Linked DNA regions of Rhinolophus ferrumequinum. The protein of the gene in region 3 binds, or shares a complex with, the protein of the main gene of each other region. Links are inferred from orthologs where the notes say so. Each region holds a gene or a part of one and is shown on either strand. Other genes may lie near its edges.

The links.
Region 1: the proteins of PCNA (region 3) and CDKN1A are in contact, whole or in part, in a crystal structure (PDB 1AXC), measured with the Homo sapiens proteins. The link is inferred for Rhinolophus ferrumequinum from reciprocal best matches to the Homo sapiens genes PCNA and CDKN1A. Residues at the interface, in NP_002583.1 of Homo sapiens: Cys27, Asp29, Met40, Ser43, His44, Val45, Ser46, Leu47, Ala67, Met68, Gly69, Ala96, Asp97, Leu118, Met119, Asp120, Leu121, Asp122, Val123, Glu124, Gln125, Leu126, Gly127, Ile128, Pro129, Gln131, Tyr133, Ala208, Asp232, Val233; in NP_000380.1 of Homo sapiens: Arg143, Gln144, Thr145, Ser146, Met147, Thr148, Phe150, Tyr151, His152, Ser153, Lys154, Arg155, Arg156, Leu157, Ile158, Phe159, Ser160.
Region 2: the proteins of PCNA (region 3) and ZRANB3 are in contact, whole or in part, in a crystal structure (PDB 5YD8), measured with the Homo sapiens proteins. The link is inferred for Rhinolophus ferrumequinum from reciprocal best matches to the Homo sapiens genes PCNA and ZRANB3. Residues at the interface, in NP_002583.1 of Homo sapiens: Met40, His44, Val45, Ser46, Leu47, Gln125, Leu126, Gly127, Ile128, Pro129, Asp232, Val233, Pro234, Tyr250, Leu251, Ala252, Pro253; in NP_115519.2 of Homo sapiens: Asp1071, Ile1072, Thr1073, Phe1075, Leu1076, Val1077.
Region 4: the proteins of PCNA (region 3) and DTL are in contact, whole or in part, in a crystal structure (PDB 6QC0), measured with the Homo sapiens proteins. The link is inferred for Rhinolophus ferrumequinum from reciprocal best matches to the Homo sapiens genes PCNA and DTL. Residues at the interface, in NP_002583.1 of Homo sapiens: Met40, Ser43, His44, Val45, Ser46, Leu47, Glu124, Gln125, Leu126, Gly127, Ile128, Pro129, Ala208, Tyr211, Asp232, Val233, Pro234, Tyr250, Leu251, Ala252, Pro253, Lys254, Ile255, Glu256; in NP_057532.4 of Homo sapiens: Ser705, Met706, Arg707, Lys708, Ile709, Cys710, Tyr712, Phe713, His714, Arg715.

Annotation. Positions count from the first base shown.
Region 1 is NC_046286.1:6,521,825-6,529,828, forward strand, and holds the start of CDKN1A (cyclin-dependent kinase inhibitor 1), read left to right. Parts: upstream 1-4,991; 5' UTR 4,992-5,106; intron 5,107-8,004. UniProt on the Homo sapiens protein: Plays an important role in controlling cell cycle progression and DNA damage-induced G2 arrest. Involved in p53/TP53 mediated inhibition of cellular proliferation in response to DNA damage.
Region 2 is NC_046291.1:82,811,263-82,818,861, reverse strand, and holds the start of ZRANB3 (DNA annealing helicase and endonuclease ZRANB3), read right to left. Parts: upstream 3,010-7,599; 5' UTR 2,936-3,009; intron 88-2,935; exon of another isoform or gene 40-87; coding exon of another isoform or gene 38-39; intron 1-37. UniProt on the Homo sapiens protein: DNA annealing helicase and endonuclease required to maintain genome stability at stalled or collapsed replication forks by facilitating fork restart and limiting inappropriate recombination that could occur during template switching events.
Region 3 is NC_046306.1:26,664,574-26,671,977, forward strand, and holds the start of PCNA (proliferating cell nuclear antigen), read right to left. Parts: upstream 3,003-7,404; 5' UTR 2,803-3,002; coding exon 2,582-2,802; intron 1,787-2,581; coding exon 1,689-1,786; intron 1,525-1,688; coding exon 1,457-1,524; intron 821-1,456; coding exon 626-820; intron 1-625. Other genes in the region: CDS2 (phosphatidate cytidylyltransferase 2), read left to right, coding at 6,951-7,007. UniProt on the Homo sapiens protein: Auxiliary protein of DNA polymerase delta and epsilon, is involved in the control of eukaryotic DNA replication by increasing the polymerase's processibility during elongation of the leading strand.
Region 4 is NC_046305.1:20,167,436-20,175,083, forward strand, and holds the start of DTL (denticleless protein homolog), read right to left. Parts: upstream 3,014-7,648; 5' UTR 2,871-3,013; coding exon 2,819-2,870; intron 1-2,818. Other genes in the region: INTS7 (integrator complex subunit 7), read left to right, coding at 3,325-3,418. UniProt on the Homo sapiens protein: Substrate-specific adapter of a DCX (DDB1-CUL4-X-box) E3 ubiquitin-protein ligase complex required for cell cycle control, DNA damage response and translesion DNA synthesis.

The DNA.
Region 1 (8,004 bases), on a different chromosome or scaffold from region 3:
GCTAGACTTTCTCAAGGCTTAGGCCTGGAATGGGCACAAGGTTACTTCTGTCCCATTCTGTTGGCTACTAGAGGTACAAGCCAAGGGGCGGCCAGATGGCTCAGTTGGTCAGAGCATGAGCTCTTAACAACAGGGTTGCCAGTTCAATTGCCACATGGGCCAGTGCGCTGCGCCCTCCACAACTAGGTTGAAGACATTAATCTGCCGCTGAGCTGCCAGAGGCACAGGCGGATGGCTCAGTTGGTTAGAGCGCGAGCTCTTAACAACAAGGTTGCTGGTTCAATTCCCGCATGGGATGGTGGGCTATGCCCCCTGCAACTAAGATTGAAAACGGCAACTGGACTTGGAGCTGAGCTGCGCCCTCCACAACTAGATTGAAGGACAACAACTTGGAGCTGATGGGCCCTGGAGAAATACACTGTTTCCCAATATTCCCCAATAAAATTTATATATATATATATATATATATATATATATATATATGGAGAGAGAGAGAGAGAGAGAGAGAGAGAGAGAGAGAGAGAGAGAGAGAGAGAGATACAAGCCAGACATGTTCAAGGGAGGCAACTACAAAAGAGTGTGAATAGTGAATACCCAGAGGTATAGTTCACTGGATGCCACAGACTTCCCAAATCATAGCCACGTGGATAAATCTTAGGTAGGTTATGCTGCAGTAACAAATAACCTCCACATTTCAGTGACTTTGCACAACAAAGGGTCACTTCTCTCTCACATACCTATTCCACATAGGTTGATGGGGTGGTCTGCTCCACACAGTCACTCAGGAACCCAGGCTGATGGAGGCTCCACCATGGTGAGTGGGCACCATCTGGAATATGAGGCATCACTTTTGCCACAGCCATGGAGGACAGAAAGAATGGAGAATTTCACTTGACCTCAGCCCTAAAGAGACAAATGTTACTTATACTAACATTTCTTTGGCTAGATCTAGTCACATGACCCTGCCTAACCTGCAAGAGGGTGCTGGGAAATGTAGAAGAGTACATAGAAAAATGGGTGAGCATTAATATGCTAAAATTATTGAAAATGAAGAAAAGTTCATAAAATTCAAGAGAGTATTTACTTTGAGGTAGGGGAGGAAGGGGTTAGGATAGGAGAAAAACTCACAGGAAGGTGTCAGTGATTTGTAAAGCCCAATCTCAGAGTGCAGGCTAAAAATGACACTTCCGTAAATATTCACTGAGCTCCAGCTGAGGCTGCTAGGTCTCAAGGGTGCAAAGATAAATAAAATATCAGCTCATCCCCTCCAGGATCCTAGCTCAGGGGATGTAGCAGGCACACAAAGCAAGCAGGCCAGCAAAACACAGTGGACTGGATTGCTCCCCAGGAACTCTAGGAGTCAGAGGGAGCCCTGAGGAGGACTCTCCACAAAGGTCATGTAAGTTGGACCATGAAGGATCAACAGGAGTTCAAGCAGTGGAGAAAGGAGTGGAGATAGCATAGGTTGGTCGGGAACACTCACTCCAGGAAGAGGGAACAATATGTGCACGCCCTTCACTCCTCAGGTGGCCTGTATTCAATGATTTCCTCACCACCTTCTAGTCCCTAACTGATCTGAGCAACTCATCCACACCATGCTGTGCCACCTAGAACCCCTTGTAGGACCCAGGCGCTCATTCTCCCCACTGGCTATGGGAAATATCGGCTGCTAATGCTTACAGTTGAGTCCTTTTTAGGAATTAGCCTCACATAAGGGAGCCCCCCCTTCCCCGGGTCATGCATCCCCCTACTCCAGGGGCAGTCATATCCAAATGACTTGTCAAAGCAGGACATAAAGGCCCTGCCCCCTTACTTCAATTCAGGAAACTGCAGGACCATCTTAGCTCCAGAGCTCCCTATTGGATCAGCTGAGGCCTCTCTAGGGCCTCCAGCCTCCATCACAGCCCAACTCCTCTCTCATCCCAATCCTGTTTCCTTTATACCTCCACAGGTGTTGATTGTGAATGCCCTTCTCAAGAAATATCCTTTAATCAAATCTCCACTTCAGAGTATGTTTTCTGGGAAACCTACCAAAGATACCACTAAAGTGTAAGTAATTACTCAATTTTAAGGAATGCCTTCCTTGGAGGTGTTTGAATAGCAATAATAATAACTAATATTCATAGAATGATTTCTATGTGCCAGGCACTATACTAAACACTTTTCCTATATGGTCTTACTTAATGAAGAACAGAGTTCATGCCAAAGGAATGAATTTCTCATGGTGAAATTTCAGGCTTAGGCAAGGTGAAATTTCTAGCTTAGGGAGGCTCGCTGGAAGTGTTTTGTAGCACAAATTCTCACACAAATTTCTCTCTCTCACTGTATGGTTAGTCCTGATTTTTGTATTGGCTGAGTCAAGTCCCCAGTGGGTCAGGGTTGGGGCTCCTGATCTCATCTCATTCTTCCTTTAAAAAAAAGCAAGCAAGGCTTCTTCTGCTTAGTAATGTAAAAATGTAATGTGTCTGTTCTGCCTCTTCTCTGGGGTCTCACTTCTTGGGAGCCAGTGTGGAGGTGAATTCCTCTGAAAGCTGACTTGGGACTCCCCGGGCCTTTTCTGAGAAACGGTGACTTTGTTCCCAGCACTTCCTCTCCCTTCCTGGGCAGCTCCTGCAACCACCATTGAGTCCTCTTCACATCCTCCTTTTTCAGGCTTGGGCTTTCGACCTTTTCTTTCTGTCATCACCTCCCTCCTGGGTGGGGGCTGACCTGGACCCTCTTGTCACTCAGACTGAGCCTTACCACCCTTCTCTAAGCCGCCAGCTTTCTGGGGAGCATGCTCAGGCAGCAAGCTGTGGCTCTGACAGGGCCCTCTGGCCCTCAGAAACAAGTCCCAACATGTTGAGGTCTGGCATAGAAGAGGCTGATGGCTGTTTTGTCCTTGTTGCTGCCTGCTTTGGAGGGAAAAGGGGGTAGTAGGAGACAGGAGACCCCCAGACCACAGGGAGAACTTGGTCTGAGTTTCTCTGAACAGAATATGTGGTTTGAAGCATATCCCTTGGCATTGGCCTGGGATCTCTCTCTCTCTCTCTCTCTCTCTCTCTCTCTCTCTCTCTCTCTCTCTCTCTCTCTCTCAGCAGATATCCTGTGTGACTTCTAACGACCTGCTCCTTTGCCATCTTCAGGGCAGAATTCCTCCTATAAGGACATGCTTGGCTACACATTCAAGTGTATGGTTGGAAACACTTAGGTGCTTTATAATATTTATTCAGTTCTGTTGTGGTGGTGAGCTAAAAGTTATAATAAAAAAAAACAACCTTCACTTCCCAACAAAAACAAAAGAAAGAATTATTTCATTGTGAAGTTCAGTACCACAAAACTTTAAGTAATTCAACACAAGCCTTCATTAAATTTTCCCCCCCAAAGTAAACAGTCAGACAATGTCAAGTCTATTTGAAGTGCCTGAAAGCTGAGGGGATTCAAGGCAGTAGGAGGATGTGCCTGTCTTCAGCTGGACATTTGACAGCCCAGCCTTTGGGTGGTGTGGGTATGCATGTGTTAGGGGGTAAAGGGAGGGTGGAGAAAGGAGCTGGGGAGGAGGGGGCAAGTCCTGGGGTCTTGGCCTTTTGGAGACCGTCCTGAGGTCAGACTACAATCCTGGCCTGACTCCAATAGCAGGCAGGCAAGGGGGTCTGGTGCTGTGCCCTCCCACCCCACCCGTGCTGCCATCCTGTCAGTGGAGGAGACAGAGGCTTGTCCTCCTGAGGTCAGCTGTGTTAGAGGGAGAAGACTAGGCATGCCCGGGCAGAGATTTCCAGACACTGAACAGCCCTAGATGTTAGTAATTAAAGTTGTTCCAAGCGTGGATTCTATTTTTTAGTAGAATTTCTGTTCAGAGTAACACTGTTCTCTGCAATTTTTAAAAAGCAGGAACTGCAAATGTATTAGGTGAAGGAAGGGAGCAAAAGTGGGGTGTCAGGGGGGCTAGGGTGTGGAGGTGGGTGGAAGTATGTGGGCACCTCACTTGCTTCTGTATCTGTCAGAAGCACCAGGGGGAACATTTCTAGAATTGTTCTTCATCAATATCACTTCAATAAGCTGTCTAAAAATGAGAAATCCTGGGTGTTTCCCTCATTCGAGAACTTCTGAAATAGAGAGGGCAACAAGCTGAGAGCTCTGGTTGGGAGGCAAAACACCATGGCCATTTCTTTGCTGTGTGATCTGAGTCAGGTCACTAAACTCTGAGCCTCAGTTTCCCCAGAAGTGTATGTGGGCTGTGTGGGGAGTATCCAAAAGAGAACTCATTCACCAACTCCTCCTCCCCTTCCTAGCCATCAAATCTGCTACAATCACAGAGGTTCCTTCTGTTGAGGCGAGAGAGGTGGGTATGGGGACTGAGGAGGAGAGTGCAAGGAGATTTATTCAATGCCGATTTTCCCCTTTTGCCCTGGAGACCAGGTTGGCCCTTTCTGAGAAGTGTGCCCAATTCCCTCCTTCCCTGAGGCGTTGCTAACCAACAACTTTGCATAGGTGTTGTTCTGTGAGCCTCAGTTTCCTCATCTGTGAAATGGAGGAAATCGAATCCGTTTCAGGCGTCCAAGAGGTTTTGTTGGGGTGTCTAGGTGCCCCAGGTGCTTGGGGAGAGGTGGTCTAATGAGGGATCTGTGGGAATAGTGGTGGTATAATGGGGCTTTTCTGGGAATTGCAAAGTGAGGCACATCATTTTTATTATTTATGGATTTTTATTTACTATTCATGTCATCCCTTGTGATCTTCTGGGGGCCAGAAACGGGGCTCATTCTAACAGTGCCATCGCCTCCTGGGGATTGCCAACTCACTTCCCAACTAAAAAAATCCACATTTGTGGCTCAGTTCTTGGGGTAAATGGTTAAGCGCACTAACCCGGGAGCGGAGTGCAGGGAGAAAGGCAGCGCCCTCCAGCAGCACGCAAGGTTGGCATCTGAGCCAGGCGTGGAGGAGGGGCCGGTGTCCCGGGGGAGGGCGGTCCCAGACGCAGAAGGCCGAGCAGCCCGCTAGTCCCGCCTCTGAATATTCTTTATAAAGGCTGCGGCGGACGGCACCCGCTGAGGTGTGAGCAGTTGCTGGAATCGGTGGCTTGGAGTTCCGGAGCCCGGCGCGGATTCCCCGAGACAGACACTTTCCGAGGTGAGGGAGCCGTGGTCGTCAAGGGCAGACCCCGGGCCGGCGGTTGGGAGCTGAGCTGAGCGTGTCCGCGTTTGTGTTCATGCAGGCGCGTGTGTGTCCGCGAAGGTGTCTGTGTGCTGTGTTCACAGGTGAATGACGTGCGTGGGTCTGTGCGTGGGTCTCGGTTTTGCTCCCATGGGTGTGTCTGGAAGTGCGTGTGTCACGGCAGTCGGGATGTGGCGGAGACTTCGGGCGGGGAGAGGTACAAGAGTACGAGGTATCCGCTACCACCCTCCCCTCGCGTTAAAGCTCAGCTGGGACGAGGAAAGGCGTGGACCCGGCGCGGATGGCTCGCGGCTTGGGATTGAAGCCCCTGTACGCGGAGGTGTCCGGCAGGGGAGGAACGAGGATCCGAGCAGGTTCATCTGGGATCCGCTCCCCGGCAGCTCTCGGATCCAATCTGTACCGTCCCCGCCCAGACCCCTGAGGTCTGGGTCCCCGGAGCCGTCGCGTCCGCCAACCGGCTGGGCTCTGAGATCAGAGTGGGCTGTGTCCCCAGCTCTTGGGAACAAGTCTAAACACATCCCTTAGGGTCAGCGAGGTGACTCACAGTGACAAGGAGACCCCGGGGAACGGGCCGGGTGAGGTCAGAACCCCGCCCGGGCTGGGGGACAGTGGCGCCCCAGAAGTCCCCTTCCCTGCCCTTCCGCGGTCTCTGTCCCACCCCCATCAGCATAGTGACCTATTTGGCTGGTACAAAATGTTCCCAAGGAAGCCGGGACACCGGGAGGTTCAGGATCGGGCGTCCGGTCCCCGCCCCGCGACGCGTCCTCCGGGATTTGGAGCCGCGGCCCGGCGCTGGGTGGGCTGCGCCAGCCTGCCACTCAGTTCAGGAAGCTCAGGACTCCCTCGCAGCTCTCCCACCACCGCCGGGAGACCCCGGCCCAGCCAGCGCTAGGGTTGGGCTGCGGGACTGCGGTCGGGAGCCGAACCCTGTTGTGCCGAGCGACTGGGTTGTAGGCGGGGTGGGGTCGCAACTTGGAGGGGTGAGGCTTCGGGGGCTTCGGGGGCACAACGCTGCTCACGGCCTGTGTCAGCTGCATCCAGCGTCTTGGGGCGCCCCGGACCTAGTCCAGAATTCCCTCTCCGAGGGCGACAGAGCTGAGCGGAGCAGGAGGGCGAGTCGCGCTTCGAGTGCCGCCGCCCAGCTCGGGCCACAGGGCGTCCGCCCTGTCCCCGGGCCCTTGGGGGGACAGCGCCCTCCTCTTGCAGAAAAAAATCTTGGAACTGGGTTTGGCACTTTAGGACGCCCAAGCACTTTAGGGAGTCCCTCCCTCTTTTTCTCCCTCCACGTCGCGTTTCGGGGAGGACTTTCGAGAGGTTTTGTTTTCTTTGCTCCCGTCTATTTTTATTTTCCAAAGATCTGACTCATCGGTGCTTTGGGCGTGGAGATAAGGTGGAGGGACCAGATCACTGCCCGCCTGTGCGTGCGTGAGAGGAGACAGGCGAGAGCGAGAGAGAGCGAGAGAGAGAGAGAGCGAGCGAGCGAGAGAGAGAGAGAGAGAGAGAGAGAGAGAGAGAGAGAGATGGCGGGACAGCGCGCGGTTTCCCAACAGTGGCGGGGGTTTCGGGAGGCCTGGCTGGGTCAGCGTGACGTGTTTGCGGCCCCCGGTCCCCCTCCACTCCCCCCTCCTCAGCTGAGGGTGACGCGCAGCCAGAGTGGAAGCGAAGTTTTGGCGGGCGGGGAGTACTTTGCAGGAAACTGACTCATCACAACTCACTGCCGCTGTCCAGGGCTCTGCCAACGCACCGCCCATCCGCGTGTGATTTCCTGGACACCAGCGCCCCCTTCCGATCCGAAGCGAATAGCACACGTGCCTTCCCGCGGAATACGGCTTCACCCGCCTTCCTTCCCGCGGCTACTCTTGGGAGTGATCCCAGGTCGCTCCCCCCGTCCCCCCCAAAGAGTACCCCATTGGTTGAACATTGTTTACTGAGTGCTTACTGTTTACTTGGGAATTAAAATTGGTTGAAGTCTAAAGCACGAAGGCCAACGAAGAAAGCTATTCTCAATCACTTGTTTGTAAAATAAGGGTTTGTGTTTGTGAGTTTCTTCTGAGCTGAGAGTTATAATAGGCAGGTTTTGATGGGAACCCTATGAGAGCCATAAGGGAAGGGATGGTAGGAGAGAGGGTCCTTACCTGGATTCTGGTCCCATCTTCAGCTCCTAGAAGACAAGGAATATCCAACTACCTGATAAAGTCCTAGGTGAGCTCCTCCTTGTACCAATGAGGCACTGAGACCCAGACTGTCCATTTCAGCATCCTGTGTATCCCCTCCTGACTAGCATCCCAAGAGTGCCCATTTGAGGGACTGCCAAACACTTGTTTAAATCTCCTTCAATTTGAATTAAGTTGATCTGGGGAGGAAAGGACCTATTACAGTTTCCAGGCGGGAATTCCCGCCCATTCTCAGGAATTTTTTTCGCTTTCCCATTACCTGAATCCTGAGAAAAGTTGGTCGGGAAATCGGGAAAATCGGCTCCTTGAACCCAGTAATACCCAAAATGGGAAATAAACATACTACTCACAATGTATCTTAGACATTTTTCCTATTTATCGCTACGGTTTCCAGATGGGAATTCCCACCCGTTCTCGGGAAATTACCCCACTTTTCCGTTCCCGAATCCTGAGAAAAGTTGGTCAGGAAATTGGGAAAATCGGCTCCTTGAACCTAGGTGGTTGGTAGTATCGGCCGTCACTTTGTGGGAACGATTCACTGTGGAGAACAGAAAACAGTTTATATCTCGGGATTCGGGAACAGGAAAGCGGGGGAAAAAAATGGCTGACAATGGGCGGGAATTCCCGCCTGGAAACCCTAGGGCCTATCAATCTACATTTTGAAAAAGCTCACAAGTGA
Region 2 (7,599 bases), on a different chromosome or scaffold from region 3:
CACAAAAGGACAAATAATACTGCATGATTCTACTTACATGAGGCATCTAAAATAGTCAAACTCTTAGAAATAGAAAGTAGAATGGTGATTGCCAGGAGCTGCGGGAGGGTAAAAGGGGAGTTGTTGTTCAATATGTACAGTTTCAGTTTTGCAAGATGAAAAAGTTCCAGAAATCTGTTGCACGACAAAGTGCATATACTTAACACAACTGTAGTACCAGGGGTGACAATTAAGTTCGCGAACTTGTTGAGACAATGTTGCTAACCTTTTTTGATATCAGAGGGGTTATTTATTATGAATTTGTACCAACTGGACAAACAGTTAACCAAGTTTACTATTTGGACGTGCTGAAAAGGCTGCGTGAAAAAGTTAGACGACCTGAACTTTTCGCCAACAATTCACAGCTCTTGCATCATGACAATACACCAGCTCACACAGCGCTGTCTGTGAGGGAGTTTTTAGCCAGTAAACAAATAACTACTGGAACATCCTCCCTACTCACCTGATCTGGCCCCCAATGACATCTTTCTTTACCTGAAGAGGAAGGAAATAATGAAAGGAAGACATTCTGATGACATTCAGGACATCAAAGGTAATACGACAACAGCTCTGATGGCCATTCCAGAAAAGAGTTCCAAAATTGCTTTGAAGGGTGGACTAGGTGCTAGCATCTGTGCATAGCTTCCCAAGGGGAGTACGTCAAAGGTGACCGTAGTGATGATATTCAGCAATGAGGTACCTAGCACTTTTTCTAGGATGAGTTCGCAAACTTAATTATCTGACCTCGTATTCACTTAAAAACGGTTAAGACAGCAAATTTAGGAACTGAATGTTAGAGGCATACAATGAAATACCAGATAGCCATAAAAAATGATAACAGATATTTACTCAGTCATATCCACAGCCTATTGTTGAGTTTAAAAGGTTTACAAAAGAGCAAAGTAGTATGATACCATTGATACATGTCTGTACCTTTAAGAGAGAGACACTGTAAGGATATTCACTAAAATTTAATACTGTGTTTCCTCAAAAATAAGACCTAGCTGGACAATCAGCTCTAATGCGTTTTTTGGAGCAAAAATTAATGAGACCCGGTCTTATTTTACTATAAGACCCAGAATAATATAATATAATACTGGGTCTTATATTAATTTTTGCTCCAAAAGACGCATTAGAGCTGATTGTCCGGCTAGGTCTTAGTTTCAGGGAAATACGGTAGTGGTATCTCTGGGTAATAGGATGACAGATGACATTTATTTTCATTTTTTATATTTTCCTGTTTTCAAATACAAAGAATAGGTATTATATCTATGGCAAAGGATAGCTCAAAAAAGGAAGTGACTGCCACCTTTGGTTCCAGAATACTGGGATGAAATTTTACATTTCTCTTTCACTCTATGTCTGGCATATCTTGGGAGATTAATAAATAGTTGAAAAGCAGGAATGGAATGAGACATATTTGGATATGAATCTCAGCTCCAAAATTTACTGATCGAGGCCTTAAAGTCTTACTGAACTTCATTGAGCCCCACTTTCTTTAACCATAAAATATCAAGAAACAATACTTGCAGAACATTACAGAAAATATGTACTTAAAGCACTAACACATCATTTCTGGCTCAGACGAAACACTCAATAAAATGATGGCCATCATTACTATTTATTGATTTACACTAGAAGAAGCTCACAACAACAAAAAACTAAGTATCTACAGAAGACTATACCGCTAAATTATACAGAAAACTTCAATTGAATTAAAGAACAAGAGACAACTCTTTGTTTGGCGGACACACAACACTGTTGGCTGAAAGGTACGGTTACATTCCCATATGTAACCGGACTAGAATATAAAATGTATCATCTAGTTGGTGCAAAAACACCACTCATGAGTATTGGACAGACTTATCAGTGCTTCAGTAAAAAAAATAATGTTGATGAAAAGGGAAAATACACTCTTTCTAATTCACAGGTAGAATGGAAAGAGGTGATGGAATAAACACACAAAACATGACTAATGACTTAATTTAGAGACAGATTAAAAGAACGAGTAATGTTGCCATTAATTTTTGTTTGGCCTGTCTTCCTCATTGATATTGGACAAGGAGCCTGTCTTTTTAGCACTGCTGTATCCCCAAAGTCTGGTATAGTGCCCAATGTAGTGTGAGTGCTCAATAAACATTTACAAGATGATTTATAAAAGTCTCAGTGACACCATAGGAAAAACTGAAATAGAATTTATCTGAAAAAGTCTCAGTCAAATGATGGGAAAAAGTTTAAGAATGAAAGCCATTAGGCTTGAGGGAGAAAGACCTTTTCTGATAACTCCTCCTGCGTCTCCTTTATTCAATGAGTTTCCCAAGGCACCTCAAAGGGAACGTCCAACAGCAAAGATACACTCAACTTTGCATCCGACGGGGGCATGAACCCGGGCCTACTGGGCTAAACGTATTTGACTATGGGCTCCTAAGTATTTCAATGAGATCTTTATTCATCGGTGTATTATAGCTGGCACCTGTCGTCGACTGGGAAAGGCACCATTCTTGATTATTAAACCTGAGCCCTTCTGTAGCTTTTCTCTTAGGAACCAGCCTTTATAAGTCTGTAAAAGTGGGAGGAATTAGCTCAGAACTTGAGAGCCCGTTGTATACAGTCAGTGACGACATGAAGCCATGCTTCACGCACCGACAGGGGTAAAGGTATTAGAGGCACCCTCTACAAATACGTGGGTGCAATCTAATAGTGAGCAAGTCAAAACACAAGAAAAAAATTAGACTCTGGGATTGAAGACTTGGGGTGGAGAACGGCATTATGGACTTGGGAACCACCCCATCCCATTTCACTCTTTCCTAAAATGCAATTACATTCCGTTCAACTACCTATCTCTCACGCAAGAAAATACAGACTTGCCCCCCACGCCACTCCCAGACGGCCACACCTGGTGTATTCGCTGAAGAATCTCCAACTCCCGCCACAGGTTTGGCTGGTGTCCGCCCCAAAGCGGAAGTGACTTAAGAGACACACACCGAAAGTAAGAGTTCAAATACCAGGATTACAAAACCCTTACGTTCTGAGAAAACTCTTCTCTGATCACCTTCCTCTTCTATCCTTATCTCTTCTGTTAGGGTGGCGAAAAGAATTCACCACAGCCTCGTAACAACTAGTTCTCCACCCTGAACTCCAAATCATTCAAAAGTTTGTCCCTTTTCATTGGCCAGCGGGGCAGCATGGGTACCTCTGAGGAACTACAATTACCGTCAGGAACCGCAGGGAGTAAACGGAGGAAAGGATATGGACAGGGGCAAAGCACGCTGGGAAATGTAGTCCGCCCCCGTCCAAAGAGGGCAATCACCCCGCCTTCCACCCCACTGAGGCTGGAGAAACCAGGTGTTGGGCTTAGAACCCGTTACCGCTAAGGGGAGGAGCCACGTTTTTAAACAGCATTCCTGACTTCCCAGCACATGAAGGATGAAAATTTTCTTTTATTCCTACAAAGCATTACAAATATTCCTTGAAGAAATATGGTTGTCTTTCTAATATCTCCAATTCAGTAAAAACTCCCAGAACTCCCCTACCTTAGGCTCCAACTCGTGGGAAAAGGTGGCTCTTTTACAAGTGGGCAAAATGGCTGTCCTCTTAGTTTTCCCATTGGTTGCCCTTTGCGTCCTTCAAGGGCGGTTACTAACCACCGATTGGTTCTTTTTCCCTTGAGGGTGGAGGAAGACTTGGCATGGCTCTCCCGCGGCCCGAGAGGAGATAAAGGGGTGGAGAGAAGGCAGTATGTCCAGGTGTGATTGGATGATCCTCATGTCACTCCGAGAACGTACAGCCTATGATTTGTCGACTGCCCCTCAAAGAGAACGAAAAGGTGGGGCTAGTGCGTGGTGGGAAGGGGCGGGATTCTGCCAGCCCCGGCCGCCGCTGGAGCCGGTGTCCGGGCTGGTGATGGGGTTAATTCCCTTTCGTAAGACTCGTACTTGCACCCACCCAGCCCCGCCGTCGCCCCGCTGCGCCGCACTCCAGCCGCCTCCTCCTCCTCCTCAGTAACGCGGGTAAGAGATGCCCTCCCCTCCCCCTCTCCAGCTCCCCGGGAATAACGCGCCTCGCTCCCCTCCCCCGCCCTCCAACCGGTAGCGCTAACGGAGAAGGAGGCAGGCAGGGGAGAGATGTGGTGTGTGAGAAGGTGGCCTTCTCCTCCGAGCCGTCGGCGCTCCAGCCAGGGCCCCGCCGAGGTTCTCCTGCTACTGCCAGCCCGTGGGGAGGTCGGGTTCCGAGGGAGTCCGGCTCTCCTGGCCCGTCGCTGCGGCTGCAGCTGCATCCCCTACCTTGTGCCCACCGCCCCCACACGGGGGCCATGTGAAAAGCAAACCCCTGGAGGCCTAGCGGAGGAGGCAGGGGAAAGGTTCCCGAGTCCCTGCCATGGCTGCTGCTGCCCTTGCAGCCCCAGGGACTCGGGAACCAGCCACAGCAGGCCTGCCAGGGACGGGTGCGGTGCGTGGTTGTGCTCTCTAGGGTGGCTGGCGCCGCTGCCTCGAACTCCCCGGCCACCCCACGACCGTGGTCCCCGGCCTTGCACCGGGAGAATTTTTAGAAAGGAAATAAGGCGTTCCGTCGGTTGGTGAAATGTAGGTACATCTTGCCTGTGTACCAGAAAAACACAATGGGAAATTTTAAAAGAAAGTTGAATGACTGTCAGTGCCACGGACTCCGGGAATCAGATTTACACACTTTATGGTTGAGTCTTAGGCTGCCCTCCAAAGCCCTTGTGTATTTGAAGTTTCTTGTCGTTGTTCTCTTTTTTGTTGTTGCAAGGTGCAGAGGAGAGTGCATCTGTTGTTTGAGCTAGCTTTTTTTATGTAGAAACTTCCATTTTTGAGGGTAGCATGCCCCGCGTATAATTGTCCTGGGACAGCAAGTCAACTAAGTAAAAGGTGAAATGCTTTCTAAAACAGTAAGGCTTAGTAAATAGCAGATGATTATTCTAATAAGATTTTCCAGGAAAAAAAAATGTGTATATGTATCTCCCAGATTACAGTTTGCCTGATTATAATTCTGAAGAAAGCCTTTGTTTTTAGCTTAAATGTCATTGATTACAAGAACTTTCAAGTAATGAAAAGATGATAAAAGTCAACTGAAAGCCCACCTTTTTATATTTGAAACAGTAAGGTCTATCTATGTAATATTTAATATGGTAGGATACCAGTATGACTAGAGTAACTGGACACACCTTAACAAAATTTGGCCATATTTAAAAGCAAATGCTTATTCCTCACATACTGAGCCCTCATTTTTTCACTCCTTGCTGTTTTGGCGAGGTGACTATGTCCTTAAATAATAGATTCTGTAATTTATAGTAGACATGCCTGTAATCAGATAAAATTCTAGGCCCACTTCTGAGGCTTGTTACCAGAATCAGAACTTGTGTTCTGAAGAAGTCATTGGGTTTTGCCGAATGTTAGACCCTTTCTTCAGGGTCTGATGAGACTATACTGGCTTAATGATCTTCCATATTCCATAAATAACACACCTAGATACAGAATTGGCATAGATCCATCGATTCAGGACCTGGAAGAAACTTGGTGTGTTGTAATTCTTAAAATGGAATGCATAACCCTGAAAGGTAAGGCCCCTCAGCTCCCCACAGAGTATCCATAGCATATATCACTCAGCATAGCATTTTCTAAAACTTGTTGGTTAATTGATAAATTATATAATTGATGCTGTCAGATCTCATGTGCTTTATATACAGAAAGCGCTGCTAGAAATATAGGAGGTTCCTACGTTCTCTTGTTAGCTGTAGGACCCCACTATGAGTTTCAGTTCAGTTTCCTCATCTGTAAAATGGGGATGATAACGCTTAACTCATGGAGTTGTGAAGCTTAGAGATGAAGTATGTAAAGCCCCTAGCATTGTGCCTAACACAGTATGTATGATTAAATATTAACTATGCATGTTAAGATTATATATATTATGATTAAATATTTCATGCATATTAAGAGAGTAAGTTTTTTATTCACATGCACAGGTGTTGCAACCTCAGCACATGTTCCATTAGTGAGGAGTACTGTGGGGGTTTTTATTTACTTGTATATAGTGACAAAGTAAGTGCAGTTTGCAGCTAGCCATTTTTAGAGTGAAAGTTATATGGGAAATTGGTAACTGGGTATATACAAGTTGCTTATTTTATAGAAGACTTTTTTTGTTTTTGGCATTAAAATGCAAGTGTTTGTGGAATATATTTCAAATGGATTACTTGGAATAAAAGTGGCAAATTATTGTAGTGATAAGTTATTGTAATATCTTTTAAATTTAATATGTTTCAAGATCTAGTTTATATAATTACTACCCATGTTCATTGTGCTACCAGGCTACCAGCAAGCAACAGCTGAATTCCTTTAATACAGCGTTAAGATTAAGAAAGTAATTTGAATTCGTTATGGCCATAGGCTGACTACAGTTTTGTTGGTTTTTAATTTTCATTATTTATCAATACTTGTGTGTTTCTTTTCTGTGAGTCAACATGCCAGACACATTGTTCTTTTCTCCTCCTAGGCACTTGTGAAAGTGTACTGTGTCTTCACACGTAATAGTGTCCTTGGAGTGTGTGCAGTTAGGCCAATTTAAAGTTAGCATGAAAACAGTTCTATTATGAAGTCTTCTGACAGTAATGCCTGGCCAGGGTTCAAGGCAGCTGCACCTTATGCTAAATAGTGAGCTGAGGTACATAATGTTATGGCAGACTTCCCAACTTACTAAACCCAGTACAATTGGATGCTCCTTCAAGGAGCCTTACATGGCAGCAGCAGTAGAAAATGTTATAAAATTGAAATAAGCTTTTTCAAATACTATGCAGAACATACGCATTGCCATGCCTTCTTGCCAAGTAATAAAAGCGATTTTCTTGTCGTGGTACTTTAAAATATCTAATTATACCCATTTGAGTTCATGTTAAATTTTATTTCCTCAAGCTGAGGGTTGATAACACCTATTTTTTCCATTCTTGAAAACGTTACAGTAATAAACACTTTTTTAAAATATTTTTTATTTTTCAATTGACAGTTGACATTCAATATTATATTACTTTCAGGTGTACAGCATAGTGGTTAGACATTTATATAATTTACAAAGTGATCCCCCTGGTACAACTAGTCCCACCTGCCACCATACGTAGTTATTACAATATTATTGGCTATATTCTTTGTGCTGTCCCTGTGACTATTTTATAACTATCACTTATCACTTTGTACTTCTTAACCCCTTCACCTTTTTCACCCAGCCCCCCCCCCCCCCACATCCCGCCCATCTGGCAGGGATCAGTTTGTTCTCTGTATCTATGACTCTGTTTCTGTTTTGTTCATTTATTTTGTTCTTTAGTGAACATGTAAGTGAAATCATACGGTATTTCTCTTTCTCTTCTGACTTATTTCACTTAGCATAATATCCCCTAGATCTATCCATGTTGTCACAAATGGTAAGATTTCATTCTTTTTTATAGTTGAATAATATTCCATTGTATATAGGTACCACATATTCTTTATCCAGTCATCTATTCGATGGGCACTTAGGTTGCCAATATCTTGGCTATTGTAAATAATACTACGA
Region 3 (7,404 bases):
TTAGCCACCTAGCTTGGGTTTGATACACAAACTTATTGTTCTGTGGTTTATAAAGGAAGCACTGAATTTGCATTCCCTTCTCACAAATTGGAAAGTAGATGGCACTTATAAATCACTTGCAGATTTCAACAGTACCTTTCACTTCTCACAAATTTCTTGGAAATGCCATTTTGTCTATTATTCTTTAGAGTTTTCTTTAATTTTAGCAATTACCTTGCTATAGACTGCATGTTTGTGTTGTCGTGTCTCTCCCACCATTCCTGTTAAAACCAAATCCCCAATGTGATCGCATTTGGAGGTGGGGCCTTTGGGAGGTGCTTAGGGTCATGAGAATAGAGCCTTCATGAATAGGATTAGTGCCCTTATAAAAGAGACTCCAAAGAGCTCCCTTGCCTCTTCTACCAGGTGACAAGGCTGCTGTCTATGGACTAAGAAGTAGGTCCTCACTAGACACTGAATCTGCCAGCTTCCCAGCCTCCAGAGCTAGGAAATAAATTCCCATTGCTTATAAGCCACTCGTCTATGGCATTTTGTTATAGCAGCCCAAACAGACTAAGACAACCTAATATTAAGCAGTTTTACAATTCTCTTCAAAGTATTTTCTGTCTACTTAAGAATTACTTACAGCTTCCTCTTCTTTATCGACATTACTTGTTTGTGACAACTTAATATTTCCATTTCCAAGTTCCCCACTTGCAGAAAATTTCACTCCGTCCTTTGCACAGGAAATTACAATAGCATCTCCAATGTGACTGAGATCTCGGCATATACGTGCAAATTCACCAGAAGGCATCTTTACTACACAGCTATATTCTTGTTCCTAGAAAACAAACAAACAAGCAAAAACACTTAAAGGTCAATTTCTGGAAATGAAAGAATTGGCAACCTCACTTTCTGAAGAATCAGCACCTAATCAAGAACTCAGAATTTAAGATTTTTTGATTACGTTGAAATGTCACTCATTGTGTGATTTCTTAACACTCCAACTACTCAAAGCCCCTCCGAATCACCCTCCAGGACTAAATCAAGAGGGCATAGGAATGATGACGGTGCAAGAAGGCACATCTGCTTTCCAAAACAAGAGAATATGGTACTAGGGATTATAAACATTCCAACACTTCTCTCCTTTAATGTTTCGAAACCTAACCTTAATAAATGTCTGCCACCATAGTTTAAAATCTACTCTTAAACAAAAGTCAAGCATTCTAGGAATAAAAAGATGCATGGAGGTTAATAAAAATACAAATATGCATTTGGCAACAATGAATTCAACCAATGATCTATTTTAGAGTACTGTAGTTTAATAAAAGACAAATGTGTCAGTCTAAATACTAAAACCCCACTCTACACCATGCATCAGCAGATATATAATTGTTAGGAAGTAGGCTTTAAATTAATTATATTAATATATCTTATGTAACTCATGTACAGTGTACTCAATCAGAAACATACTCACTGGAATCCCAAGTTGTTCAACATCTAAATCCATTAACTTCATTTCATAGTCTGAAACCTTTTCTTGATCTACCAAAAGAAAGCCAATGTTAAAGAAAAGCATGGAAGTTTATAACTATGATGTCAATTTTACAAGCTCACAAACATTATCTTAAACTTCTCCCAGCTTTGAGAAATACTGACAATGCATTTTAATTTTCTTCAGCCTAACTCAGTAGGAAAATATGACCTACTTGGAGCTTCAAAAACTAATGCCAACGTGTCCGCATTATCTTCAGCCCTTAGTGTAATGATGTCTTCGTTGCCGGCACACTTTAGTATTTTGGACATGCTAGAACAGAGAAGACACAGGGTTTAAAATCGACACCATCTTTTCAAGATCGTTAGATTTCTAAGCAATTAAAACAAGGAGTTACCATTTTGACCCATTAGGCTGTCTGATGAATTGGCAAGTTAGGTAAACGTACTACAGGAGGATGTGTAAACCGGTCCAGCCATTTTGGAGTGCAATCTTCCAGTATTTATAAAATACAAAGCTACCACCAGCAATTTCACTTCCGGATAGAAACAAAAGAACAGTATTTTCTGAATTCAAATCCGTTTAGTGAGTGAATAAATCATTGGGCCTCGACGATCATTAAAAACTACCTAAAATTGAAAGCCACTGTCCTGGAGAGATTTTCCAAGTCCAAGAGGGTGCTCACTACTACTTTTCTTTATAAAAGACTGGAAATAACCTATTGTCCCTAAGTAAGGGGATACAACTAGGGGGCGTTATAAAGCGGCTAAAGTCAACCATAATCGGTTTCTCATCCAAGGCCGCCGGCACCTAATGACCAAAGAGCTCTGGAACAGTGTTTTCCTGGCTTGGCAGCGAAACCCGTCATTTTCCCGCCACCACCCGCTTTGTGACTTTGGCGCGGAAAAAGCCGGTTCGCGCCGCTGTCAGCGCGGGCTTTTGGAACCGCGCGTTCCGTGGGTCCCGCCTCCCGGTATAGCAGGCCAATGAGAAGGCGCCGATGGCCCACTCCAGCTAAAGAGGGCCCGGCTCAGAGGCGCTCCCGCCAAGAGCCAGAATTGGGGGTGAGGGGAAGAGTGCACCGCTCCCCACTGCCCCCAAGCTTACCTAGTGAGGTTCACACCCATGGCCAGGTTGCGGTCGCAGCGGTACGTGTCGAAGCCCTCAGAGCGCAGGGTGAGCTGCACTAAGGAGACATGGGATGAGTCCATGCTCTGCAAGTTCACGCCGCTGGAGCTGATGTCCCAGCAAGCCTCGTTGATGAGGTCCTTAAGCGCCTCCAGCACCTTCTTCAGGATGGAGCCCTGGACCAGGCGCGCCTCGAACATGGTGGCGGAGTCGCAACGACGCGGCTACAGGCTAAGGGAAAGAGGAAGTGTAGCGGGTTTAGGCTTCACGGGATGAGAGCGAGAAGGCGAACACAGCAGTAAGAGCCGGCGACCGAGGAAGTTCACGGCAAGCTCGCTGCGCCAGCAACCGTTTAATACCACCGCGTCTGCTAGCGCGCGCTCTCCGTCCCTGCGCCCCGTGGAGACGTCACCACGTTGACCCGCCCACTGCCTGGGCGTAGAGACTCTACGGCCAATCGTGTGCCTGCTCTGCGCGAAGCCCGCCCCCAAACATCCATTGGAAAATGTAGGGACGGGGCGGGGCGCGAACGCTGCACCTCCTGGGCTGGGCAAGAGGGAGTCGGGGCCGGACTCCCCGCCTTTTTGCCAGGCTCTAGCAACTGAACGCTGGACATGCCCGGGCATCAGTGAGGTCCAGGCTGGGAGTCGTCGAGTCCCAGCTTTTTGGTACTTCCTTAACCTCCCGCTTTGAGGATAGAAAGTTTCCAGTCGTGGAAGTGAAACACAAGTGCAACCTATGCTGGGGACGGGGGTGGAAAAACCGCCTGTAGCCTGGAGAACTGCTGCTTTAAATGTGCACATTTTGGCTGTTATAGAAGTGACGCGCTCCTAAAAGTCAAACGATGAAGGGTTGTATAGTTACAAAAAAATTATCTCAGCTTCCCACCACCAGCTATTAAGACCCACCCCCACACACGCAAGGCTCACATCACTCAATAGTTTCCTCTATACAGCTTTCTAGCTTTTTCTGTACAAATACACATTTTTTTTAAAAAAAAAGCAGGTTCATACCGTTAACACTTCTGCAATATAAAGTACCTGTATATATAATTTCGTGCCACATAAATGTCTTCTATATAAGTACCTTTTAAAACGGCATAATATAGGCATACCTCGGACATATTGCAGGTTTGGTTCCAGACCACCGCAATAAAGCGAGTAATAGCAGTAGAGAATCATGGTATTTTTCCTGGTGGCGGGTTTTGCCTTTAATTTGTAACACTTGTGAAGCACAATAAAGCCACAAGCAATAAAACGAGGTATGCCTGTATTTTATGTTTGTAACCTAATTTGCCAATTTCTTGTGTGTGTTTACAAACACCTTTGGGCACTTAGGTGATTTTATGAGATCAACACCTTGAAGTATTATTTGCATACACATTAAGTATTTGATTAATGTTACTAAATTGACCTCTAAAGGATTGCAATTTATATTCTAGCCAAGACTATGAGTATGCTCATTTCCCTCAATTTTCCTAACGATAGATATTACCAATCTTGACTTTAATCTGTGCTCGTTTATGTGAAAATTTCACTTTGCATATTGAGTATTACAGATTGAACATCTTTCATATATTTCTTGACCATTTCATTGTTTGTATATTTTTATTAAAATATTTTCTTATTGATTAAAATAAGCACTTTATATGTTACAGTAATCATTTCCCTATTACATGTATTCTCTCCCTGCTTTGTTATTTCTCTTTCACTTTGATTACAGCATTTCCCTTTAGTTGCATTTGATATCTTATTATGGTTTATAGAATTCTTTAGTTTTTCTACCACGTATCTGGTTGTGGATTTAGTTTTATTTATTGTGTTCAGGGAATTTTGTGTTCTTTAATCAGAAGATCATGTATTTCATCAAGTCTAGAATATTCTCAACCATTATGGCTTCAAATATTGCCTTTCCCTGGCATTTCTTTTAGATTTATCTATGTCATTGAATTTAAGATACCGTCAATTGTAAGAGACAACATTACTTTATGTAACACAAGAAAGAAAATATTGTCAGACTATCACAGTGTTTATCATTTAGAATTTCTATTTTGTAATTATTGAAATAACTTTTAGATTTTTAAAAATATTTGTATCACATATTACTCTTGTACGTACGTTAAAAATATATATATAAACAAAATTAACTGGCTAAGGCATTCCTAATATTTCTCCACACTAAGTTTCCCACTTAGTTGCTGGTACTGTTGTTTTTCCATATAATATTATACTCTATTGTATAGGGTGATGATGAGTGCTACTTTATTGTCTCTGTAATTTCTTCCAAGTGTCTGTCACCCATTTGTAAATTTTTTTATTAAAAATGTTGTATTCAATTTATTTAAATTAAAAAAATAAAAAACAAAACAGTACACCCTGACTTCAGGAATGTATTTGGTCTGAGTTTAGTTAGCCTGGCAGGGCTGAATGTAATGGATGAGAAGTTTGTTGAGGCTAAATTGTAGTGGGTTATCTACCCTAGTAAACATACTGTGCATTCTGAAACTGATCTACATGCACTGGTTTTCCAACCTCTTTTATATTAGGCTGGATTTGAAAGGAACAGCTGAGCGTTTGGAAGGACTGATGTGATGCTTCCTCAGATGTGAACTTTCACAATTATGTACCCTTCAGGTGAGGATCTGAATACTAACACCTCCACCTGTCTCAGAGGATGACCTTGTGGCTTTCTCTGTGTTGAAGTCCTTCTAGGTCCTTTAGGTCATAAACTTTGCTTAATTTACCCAAGATGTGTCTGGTCTTTAGATCAAGAAGTGATCACTGACAGTCAAAATGGTTATCACAACAGTCCTTAACAGATTAAAAGAGTTTTTAAATTACCATCAGCATGTTACTTTTAAAAATAACATTAAAACAAAACACAAAAGCAAAGTTTTCTTTAAATAAATTATGGCCTGAAGGGAGTGGTCTGCTTCTCAAAACAAAACAAAAATACAAATATTTGTGCAATGTTAACAGGAAACAAAGCATACCGAGTTGTGTTCCTCCACATCTATTTTACTGTCACTTTGAAGCACTATTACTGTAACTTGGGAATACATTCTTATAGAAATCAAGAATTCTCACTAGTTTCCCAAAAACCCACAGTTCAGGTCAAAATTGATTATACGAAACTGCAACTCATTATGTGTGGAAGTTTTTCTCCTTGTTAAATTACAATATGCTTAAAGGAAGGGACCTCATTTCATACATGTTTTACATCACTTACAAGGCAGAGAATAAGAACAGCTGATGGCAATGCTTGAGAAACATAGGTTAGTGTGGGCTTTGGTAAGAAACAGATCAGTGTTCCGATTCTTAGTGGGAATTTTCTAGCTGTGAGACCGCGGTTAAATCATTTTCCTTTACGAGAAGATTTAAATCCATTCAACAAGTACTTAGGATGTGTCCGATACATAGGGGAATCTGGCTGTGAACAAAGCAAGCAGCATTCCTGTCCAAAAAACAAGGTCTTTCAACAGTCCAGAAGGAAAACAAATGTGAAAAACCGCGGAAGATCTTATCTATAAAATGAAAATCATACCCACTGCCAAACGTTGTGCAGACTGAATGGCATAAATTAAAGCGATTACTTGGTTCAGTACCTAACACATAATTTACGCTCAGTAAGTAGTAGAGGCAACTTGGCAAAGCAACGCAGACTTAAGTTTGGGTTTCACATCCCTTATCACGTGACGACACACTTGGGCTCCTCAGGCCTTTCCACTCAGGGCCTAACTAGCGCCTACTTACATGCGTGAGGGAAGAGGCCTGGCTACCCACGACACAAAGCACAGACCAGGAAGCCAACCACTAACCAAGCTAGAGCCTCCGAGTGAGGCAACCCGTTAATTCTAGGATCTAGGTACCAGCGCCGGCCATCCGCGGTCAGGCCGGAGCTCCTATTGGCTAGTATCCCTCGGAAGCGCACGCCTTTTCCCGCCCCATCACGTTTCTGTCCAATGCAGGCCTATCCACTCCGCTCCGCCCTGCCCCCACTGCCCCGCCTCCCTGGCGGATTCGCGCCATTGGTGGATCTCCGGGGCCGTGATGGTGGCGGTGCGCGTGCGCGTTCGCTCTGGGGGCCATCCGGAGAGAAGGAGCTAGCGGGCTGGGGCTGGAGAGGCCAATTGTGCTCCGCCCTAGTGAAAGGGCGGCGACGGTGCTGGGTCCAGCCGAGCTCCAGGGCTGGCCGTGGGCTGCAGTGGGGCCCGTGAGCCGCTGCGGAGCTGTGAGCTGCTCAGGCGGGGCGGGGCCGGCCGAGTAGAGTCCGCGCGCGCCCGCGCTGAGCTGCCCGCTCCGGCGGCTGCGCTGCTCGGCCGCGGGGACGTCGCGCCAGAGTCTCCAGCATGAACGAGCTGAGGCTTAGGGCGGTCCGCGAACCGGACGCACCGCCAGAGTACAAGGTAGCGGCGGCATCGGGGTGGACGTGGTCAGGGCAGCGGCGACCCCCGGAGAGTCGCGGGGGGCACGCGCAGAGGGGTCGTCTGGCTCTTTGACCCTTTGTCGCGGCCGATGGCGGCACCGGGCCTGGACAACTTGGAGGGTCCTCGGGTGCAGGGCTCCCGCGGAGCGCGCGTCAGGGGTCAGCAAGAGGGGACCCCGGGGACACGGCTCTGGGGTCCGGGTGGAGGTGGTATCTCCGCGGCGCAGAAAGGAGCGCGCAGGGGGTTACGCACGCTGCCTGCCTCGCAGTGCTAGTTGGGGGTCCCCCTCCTGTCCCTCACCTCCCGAGGCCTTCCTGGGTGTGAAGACGTCGAGACCTGAAAGCCTTCTCTGGCCGGTGACTCCTCTGAGCCGGAC
Region 4 (7,648 bases), on a different chromosome or scaffold from region 3:
TTCATTTGGAAAGCCTATTATTCACTCAATGTACGATTTAAGATTACGCGCAGATTTTTCAAGGAGTATCTGAGGACAGAAGAGTTTCCAGAGAATCAATTTCCTGATACTCAAACTCCAGGTATATGCATTTCTAAAACTGATCACCTGAAAGGTGAGGCTCTCTTTTTCTCCTCTCCCTTCATCACTACCTTTCTTCCACTTTCAAAAGAAAGGCATTTCAACGCCCCAATTTTGCACCTTGCATTGACCCAAGGTATAAAAACTTCTGGGACCCCAAATGAGAGACAATTGGATACGTCCTTTAATATTTAATAAAGGCATCGTGAACACCCAAATCCATCACTTGAAAAAGATATACTTCTGTTAAAATTTTACTTTTTGCTTAATAATTATTTGTCAAAATTAGTAATCTATATTATTTTGACTAATTGCATGCTAATAATTGCAATAATTCAATCCAGAAGAACTTTTAAGACTTAGAGCCTTATGATCACAGACAATATCAATTTAAATGTATTTTTTTTACACGGAGTATGACAGGGTGATCAATAGAATAACTTTCCAAGCTTAAAAACAAATTACATTAGGATACATTCTATTGGGAAAAATAAAGTGGAAATAAATTCAAAGGAAAAACAGCAACTATTTAGAATATCTAACAGTTAAAAGTTTGTTCAGACTTTTAAAAAATGATTGGTGTGGTTATCAAATCACTATAGTATTTACATTCTATTAGATATATTTTAAAAGAGTAATGTAGTATTTTTATTTTAAAATGTCAATATTCACATTATGGCCAGAAATGAAATCCTTTATATTGGTCTAAATTTATGATAAAAACTTTCAGATACCAATTAAAAAATACACGTTAGAGTAATCAGATTTCAATTTTAGAGAGATCACTGGCAGTGATGTGGAGAATATAAACTGGAGAGAGGGAAACTAAGAGGCCATTTGGGAGACTTGTTATAGTCCAGACTAGAGGGCATTAGGGCTCAACCCAAGGAAATGGAATGGTAAACATAGAATAGATCCTAGATATGGTGAAGAGGCAAAATCAGTGGGGATAGAAAGGGCAGATTCAAAAGATTTTAAGGAAACTTACTCGGTGTGTATCTTGAGGAAAATGAAGGAAATTTGATTGACCGTCAGGTTTCTGGCTGGGAAGACTAGTTTAATGAATATGGCAGGTTTGGGGAAAAGTTGCATTCGGTTTTGGTATTTGAGTTCGAGATGCTTGTGGGACTGATCATTTGGGTGAAGATAATCATACAACTCATACAACATAGGAATGGATGTAAAGTCTAGGGAAAGGAAGGTTGCACGTAGTAGTGGAAGAAGCCCTGGTTAAGGCTATGATGATCCATTGGAGTAGGTGGAAGGAGATTAGGGGCCTAGGATGGAACAACTACATGGAAGGGAAAAGGAGATGGTCTCATCAAGATCAGTGTATAATATACAAGAATAAATGAAGTTCAGAGCCTAACACTAAACAATGGATGAGAACTCATGAATGAAAGGGAAGAAGTAGACAGATAGATTGGTGAGTTAGTAGAAAATGTGTTTAAAAATTAAGACTCAATAGATTGTCCCAGGTCACGCAGATAGTACAGAGTGGAGCTGGAATTTTTCCTCCAAAGACAGAGCTCTTACACACTGTGCTGTATTGCCACTCATGACACAGAGGATAGAGAAGTTAATTCAAGCAAGGTCCCAGGGGAGATAGAAAAAGGGGTATTTAGAGTACAATTTAAAAAGATTATTTAAGAGGGAAGTAGGTAAGGATGGTATAAAGTTTTAGATTGGGGCAGGAAGTTGAGAGACTACTGTCTCAATATCCTTTTCCTAGACCTGTGCCTAAGTATAAAACGTCTCTTTCCCAGATTCTTTTCTTTTGGTTTTCCACATGGTTTCAAGGAGAAAGTAGACTTAGTCATCTTTAAAAGAATGAAATTTAATTTCTATCCAAGATGAGTCCGGGTAGTAACTCCCCATCAGAAACTTACCAGGAAGTCTTAGATTGATGATACCCAAACCTAAGCTCAAAACTCTTACTGCCAATGTTTTAACCAAAGGAACCTCAAGAACTGTAGAGAATAAGTTGGATTTCTACACACTAACATGAAAATATTCCCAAGTTACACGGTTAAAGAGAAAAACAAAACAAAACATTTTGATACCATTTTTTTAAATAAATAACAATACATACTGCTTCTGGCATTGAAAAACATTTGGAAAAATGTACTTCAATCGATTTACCACTGGTCATCTCTGGGGATATGTTTATAGGTATTTTTCACTCTATAATTTCGAATTTCTATGCGTATGTAGTAATCAGGGAGGAAAAAAATTTGACCATGCTACAAGCAGTTCTGTCTTCTCTGCTTCACTGAGTTCCTGAACAGCGGGTCAGATACACTCGTGTACTTAAAACAAATAGGGCGCAATAAGGTTCTACAACAAACGAATTAATCCACGAATACGAGTTTCCTCGATCTCACATTGCTGTTGAGGGGTACACACACACACGCATGCACGCTTTTTCCAGTTAAAGTGTAATATAGACATGAGCCGTTAAGGAAGGCCACTTAAGTGAACTTCCCTCCCTCCGTCGGCCTACATTACATTTTAAAAGTCCAAACTACGATTATAAGTGTACGGAGGGCATGAAAGTGCAGCTTCCTTCAGTAGTCTTTGCTAACACGAATTCACTTGAGGGCTGGAAAACAGAACTGGAGTCGGCCTCGGTCCGAGGCGCTGTTTCGGGGGAGGCGAATCCCGCCAGCAACAAGCAGCAGTTAGGGCCGTTACTCACCATTTCTCGGGACGCCAAACTGGGGCTGGCGGAGCACCGAATTGAAGAGCATCTGGACCAGAGGAAAAGGCTCAACTGAGGGAAAAGCCTTGAAATCGCCCCCAGGTTCAACAGAAGTCGCAGCTCGCGTCTCTCAGAAGAGGACTAGTTATAGCCTCCAACTCCCGCCACTGTAAGCCCCGGCCACCAAACTCCCCGCCAAACTGACGTCACGCCCTCTGATTGGCTCCCGCAGCGGCGTCCGGACGCCGCCGAGTCACTTCCCCCTCCAAATCCCCGCCTTCTTTTCTCCTAGCCGCGGGAACCTAGAGTTCAAGAGCTCTCTGAGCGCCTGCGCGGGGGGCCGCTGAGGCGCTAGCGAACCGCGGGGTGACTAGGGCGCATGCGTAACACGGCTTGCCAGAGCGCGGAGGAAAAATCCGCGAGAAGGTGGTGGGAGAAGATGGCGGTGCTGGGCCAGAGTTTACAATCTTTTTGAATAAGCTAACCGAGTAACTGTTCGGGTCATGGCGTCAAACTCAACTAAGTCTTTCCTGGCAGATGCCGGCTATGGCGAACAGGAGCTGGATGCTAACTCTGCCCTTATGGAATTAGACAAAGGTATTCGAAAGAGCGGGCTGAGCGGGTGAGATGGAGGGGTGGAAGCGGCGCCACCAGGTGGTGGTAGCATCGGGAGAGGCCGGGAAGGCGTATGCGCAAAGCTTCCCTGGGCGGGGGCGGGGGCGTGGGCGGGCGCCTGTGCTTTTGGTGAGTCCAGGGTTTTTATCGCTTTGGGAAATTGGCAGGAAAATTGCAGCATTGCTGGAGTTGGGTTTGCAACAGCTGAAGAAGTAGCGAGCTCCACTGATAGGCCTGTTTTGACCACTGGGGGGCACAGTCCCCCGATTTTCCAAGCAGTTTTGAGGAATGCTAGATTGAAATTGTGCAATTATTCTTCGGAACGTTCAGTTGAAACCGACTTTGCACCGACTTTACAGCGATTTATTTGATTTCTGTAACTCTGTTACGTGCGTCTTACCAGGCAGGTTAAATAGCCAAGACCATCCGTAAAGCGTAACCTCTGCTAATTTTCCTGCAGATGAATTCCACCAGTTGTTTCCTTAAGCGGGGCGGGTAAGGGTGTGGAGGGGTGAGAGGCAGCTTGGTATAGCTGAAGGAACTTTGAAATTAGAATGAGTTGAATTTCAGTTTCACTAATTTCATAATCATGTACAAGTCACCTGACTTCACCCAACCTCGGTATTTTTGTCTGCAAAGTGGGTACAATACCATTGAGCTGGCAAGACTGTTGTAAATAGTAAGTGATACAGTGATATGCAAAAGAAGCCTTTCTTAAATGCTAAAGAGATATGCCTTCTTAGATATGGATATGGCAGGCAAGGGCAGATATTTGTCAGTAAAGAACTCAACTATTAAAATGAATCCTTTGTTTCAGTGTACTTCAACGATTTTTATTGAATGGAGAAAACATTTTGTTATCTGGGATACAGTTAAATCTTGATTAATCGTAGCCGTTCTATAATGTATTGAGAACTGGACTACAGGTTAGAAGAATCTGTCTAATTTAAATCCACTTTGAGCCATTTCCCAGCTTCTTGGCTTGGACACTCTTAACTTTGGGGGGAATTTTTGTTTTGTTTTGTTTCTTTTTTAACCTGTAAACATTTCTAGTGGGTTGGTCTAGGTAAGATTTTCACAGACTTTTATAAAAGCCTTTTAAGATCGTTTGATCAACATAAAAATGTCAACACTCCAATGTGTTATTCCTTTGGTTGAGTCACAAAATGTTTAGTACATCTCCATCAACCAAGAAGATGATGTGAACTTTCTTTTACCAAAGCTATAGGGCTTTTATCCTCTGAAATATAAAATTAAAACATTAAATGTGTTTTTTAAACACTACATAATCTTTTCCTCCCCATTCTGATCATTCCTTGCTTATTCCCCAGTGACAGTTTCATGTCCTGATAGCTAATATTCCTACCAATTCTACAGACATTTTTCTACCACTCTGGTCCAGGTGGGCTTGTCCCCTAAGGCCAGTAGGACAATGGTTATGGAACAGAGATCAGGATGGGACTCTGAAGAAATGAGTAATCTGTATTAGTTTAATTACTAAAAATTTGCAATTGTAAAAAAAAAAATAGCACAAATTTTCCTTAAATAAATAAATGGATGGCTATTGAGTGTTTAACTGTAAACAGGTGTCAGTCCTAGATACTAAGTAAGTGACTGTGTTCAGTCCTCCCAGCAGTGCCCTGGGTATTTCACAAGATGAGTCTCAGGCTCAGAAAGATAATTTGAACAAGACAAGAACAAAACTTGTTCTTTTTCACTCATTATGCTGTACCTTTTAAAGTTGTTAAGAAATTAGATAACAGAAATAGCCAGTGCATTAGAAGATAGTTTAGTGTTTCAAATATTGAGCCATCTCATCCTTACTTGTTAAAGTATTTCTATTTTGTGAGCCAAATGTCATAGTGTCAGAAGGCTACAAGTTCCCCTACTAGAGAGAGAGACCTTTGCAGCCAAGTTTACACCACGTGACCAATTCCATGCCTTAACTGATTGATTCAGAAGTGGACATATGACCCACAGTGAGCCAATCAAATTCTTTCTCAGACCAAATTTAGTCTGACAGTGTTGAGAAGTGGACCTATAAGATCATGTAGGATTGAGCCTTAGGTCAGACTCTTAACAACTCAGTGCCACAGAAAAACCAGCATTAGGAAGGACCTGGTTGGTGATCCCTTGATAGGCCATGGACTGACCCCAAAACCCAAGGCCTTTCTCCAGTTCTTACTGAAATCCGTGGACTCGTTTTCATGTATGGCTAAAAGCTACTGTCTTATAACTTACAAAGTGAGTTATTCAGTATTCCTAAAAGTTGGTATTCATAAAATAAAATTAATTTGTTTATGATTACAAATCATATTCTATGTACATGCTGCACACTGGCATACATGCCATCATACATGGTATTTACAGACAACTTCTGAAATTTGGGGTAAGGATGGTTTATTATTAATGCATCATCAGTTGAGTTGACTATCATTTCAGTTGTTTCTATTCCTGCTTTTTAATGTAATTTATTGAGGCTTTGCCATTAACAATTTATTGAGCTATAAGTTGTTAGGTTACTTTATAATGTGTGGCGCATGCTTGTGTTTGTATCCGCCCCCTCCTCCTCGCTTTTAGTAGTGAATAGACTTGATGTATAGGTGTTACGATTCCACTTTGAATAATTTTCACCACTTAGGTAAAGCAATGTATATAACAGAGTCCTCTAAAATGTGCTTGTTTGGTGGTGTGAATTACCAGTGTTTGTAAGTGGATATTGGTCACGTGGATGGTAGCATTTTAGCATCTTGTGAGCACTCTTCCTGTGCTTGAGGAATGGTCCGCGTCATGAGCCCTGTCTCACCAAAATGGAAGCAAAAACTCACTAGTTTCCCTTGCTAGAGCGCTGGATGTGAACTTATGCCCTGCCAATCAGACAGGCCTCCTCCAGGCTCTGCGATTTAAGTTCAGAGATGCAAGAAAGCCGGTTTGATGAGTACACTCGCTGTTCCCTGGGCTGGCAGCAGTGGTGGCTGTAGTGTCTCTAGTATACGGTACCGGCAGCAATGGCTACGTTCCTAGATGACAGCAGAGCTCCTTGTAGCATCTGGTGTTCCCTGGCAACAACAGTTTTCCCCCATCTAGTCAGTTTGGCAGTGTGGTATTTGGTGTTATTAGAAATTTACCCTTGAAACTGTTTACTAGTCTTTTAATAAATTCATTTTCTGCCAAATCAGCCCGAGTTAGGTTCTGTTGCTTACAGCTAAGAACCCTGACTGATATATACCTGGAAATGTGTGCTACTTTGGAAACTTGATTAAGGTGCATCACAAACCCCAAGTTTACCATAATTTATGTTATTCAGTTTCCTGGAATTTGTGATCCCTCAGAATTACACCACTCTGAAATCACGAATTCAGATACCCCATTCCTTAATCTTAACCTCTGTCCTAGTTGCTTGATAGGTGAACATTTTAGCATAATGGTAAGGGCCATAGCATAATGGTAGGGGCCGTAGGTTCCAGAGCCAGATTCCCAGGATTTGAACCCCATCTCTGCCATTTGTTAGCTGTTGTTTCTTAGGCAAGTTGCTTAACTGCTCTTTGCCTGTATCTTCATTTTTAAAATAGGGATAATACTTCCTAACTTTTGTGATTATAAAGTGAGGCTTTAATACATGTAAAGTAGAGTGTCAGGCACACTATAAGGACTTAATATGCATCGTCATTATCATTTTGATTAATGCTATTTTGATCATTCTTTATCTTCATTCACACCCCGGTATATTTATCTCTCTACTTTCCCCTACTTAGCAGTTCCTTCCTGTCTTTACTTCTGTATCCAGTTTACATTTCATGGTTTCTCAATTTATTAACTTCATTTACTTTCTTACCAGTACTTGAAATTCTCATCCAAGGTTCTGTTCTAGTCATGTGTGCCCAAAGGCAGCCAGAAATTGCTGGAGAAAGTCATAAACAGGGTATGTGGCTATTATCAGAAATTATATCAAACTCAAACTAGCCTTTAACACAGACCTGCAATACTAGAGCGTTTCTTTGGTCAAGACTCTCCTACCTTCAGTGACATTTCAGATCTTTAAGTTTTCAAAAAAGCCAGAAATCTTGAGTTTTATGTGCAACCTCATTTTTAAAACTTGGCAATGAATTCAAAGTCTTTAAAGACATGTCTACCAGCTAACGTCATTCTGAGGACCAGATTCAGCAGCCTACTAGTTTTCTTACTCCAGTGTAATCAGTACAGGCAGGCCAG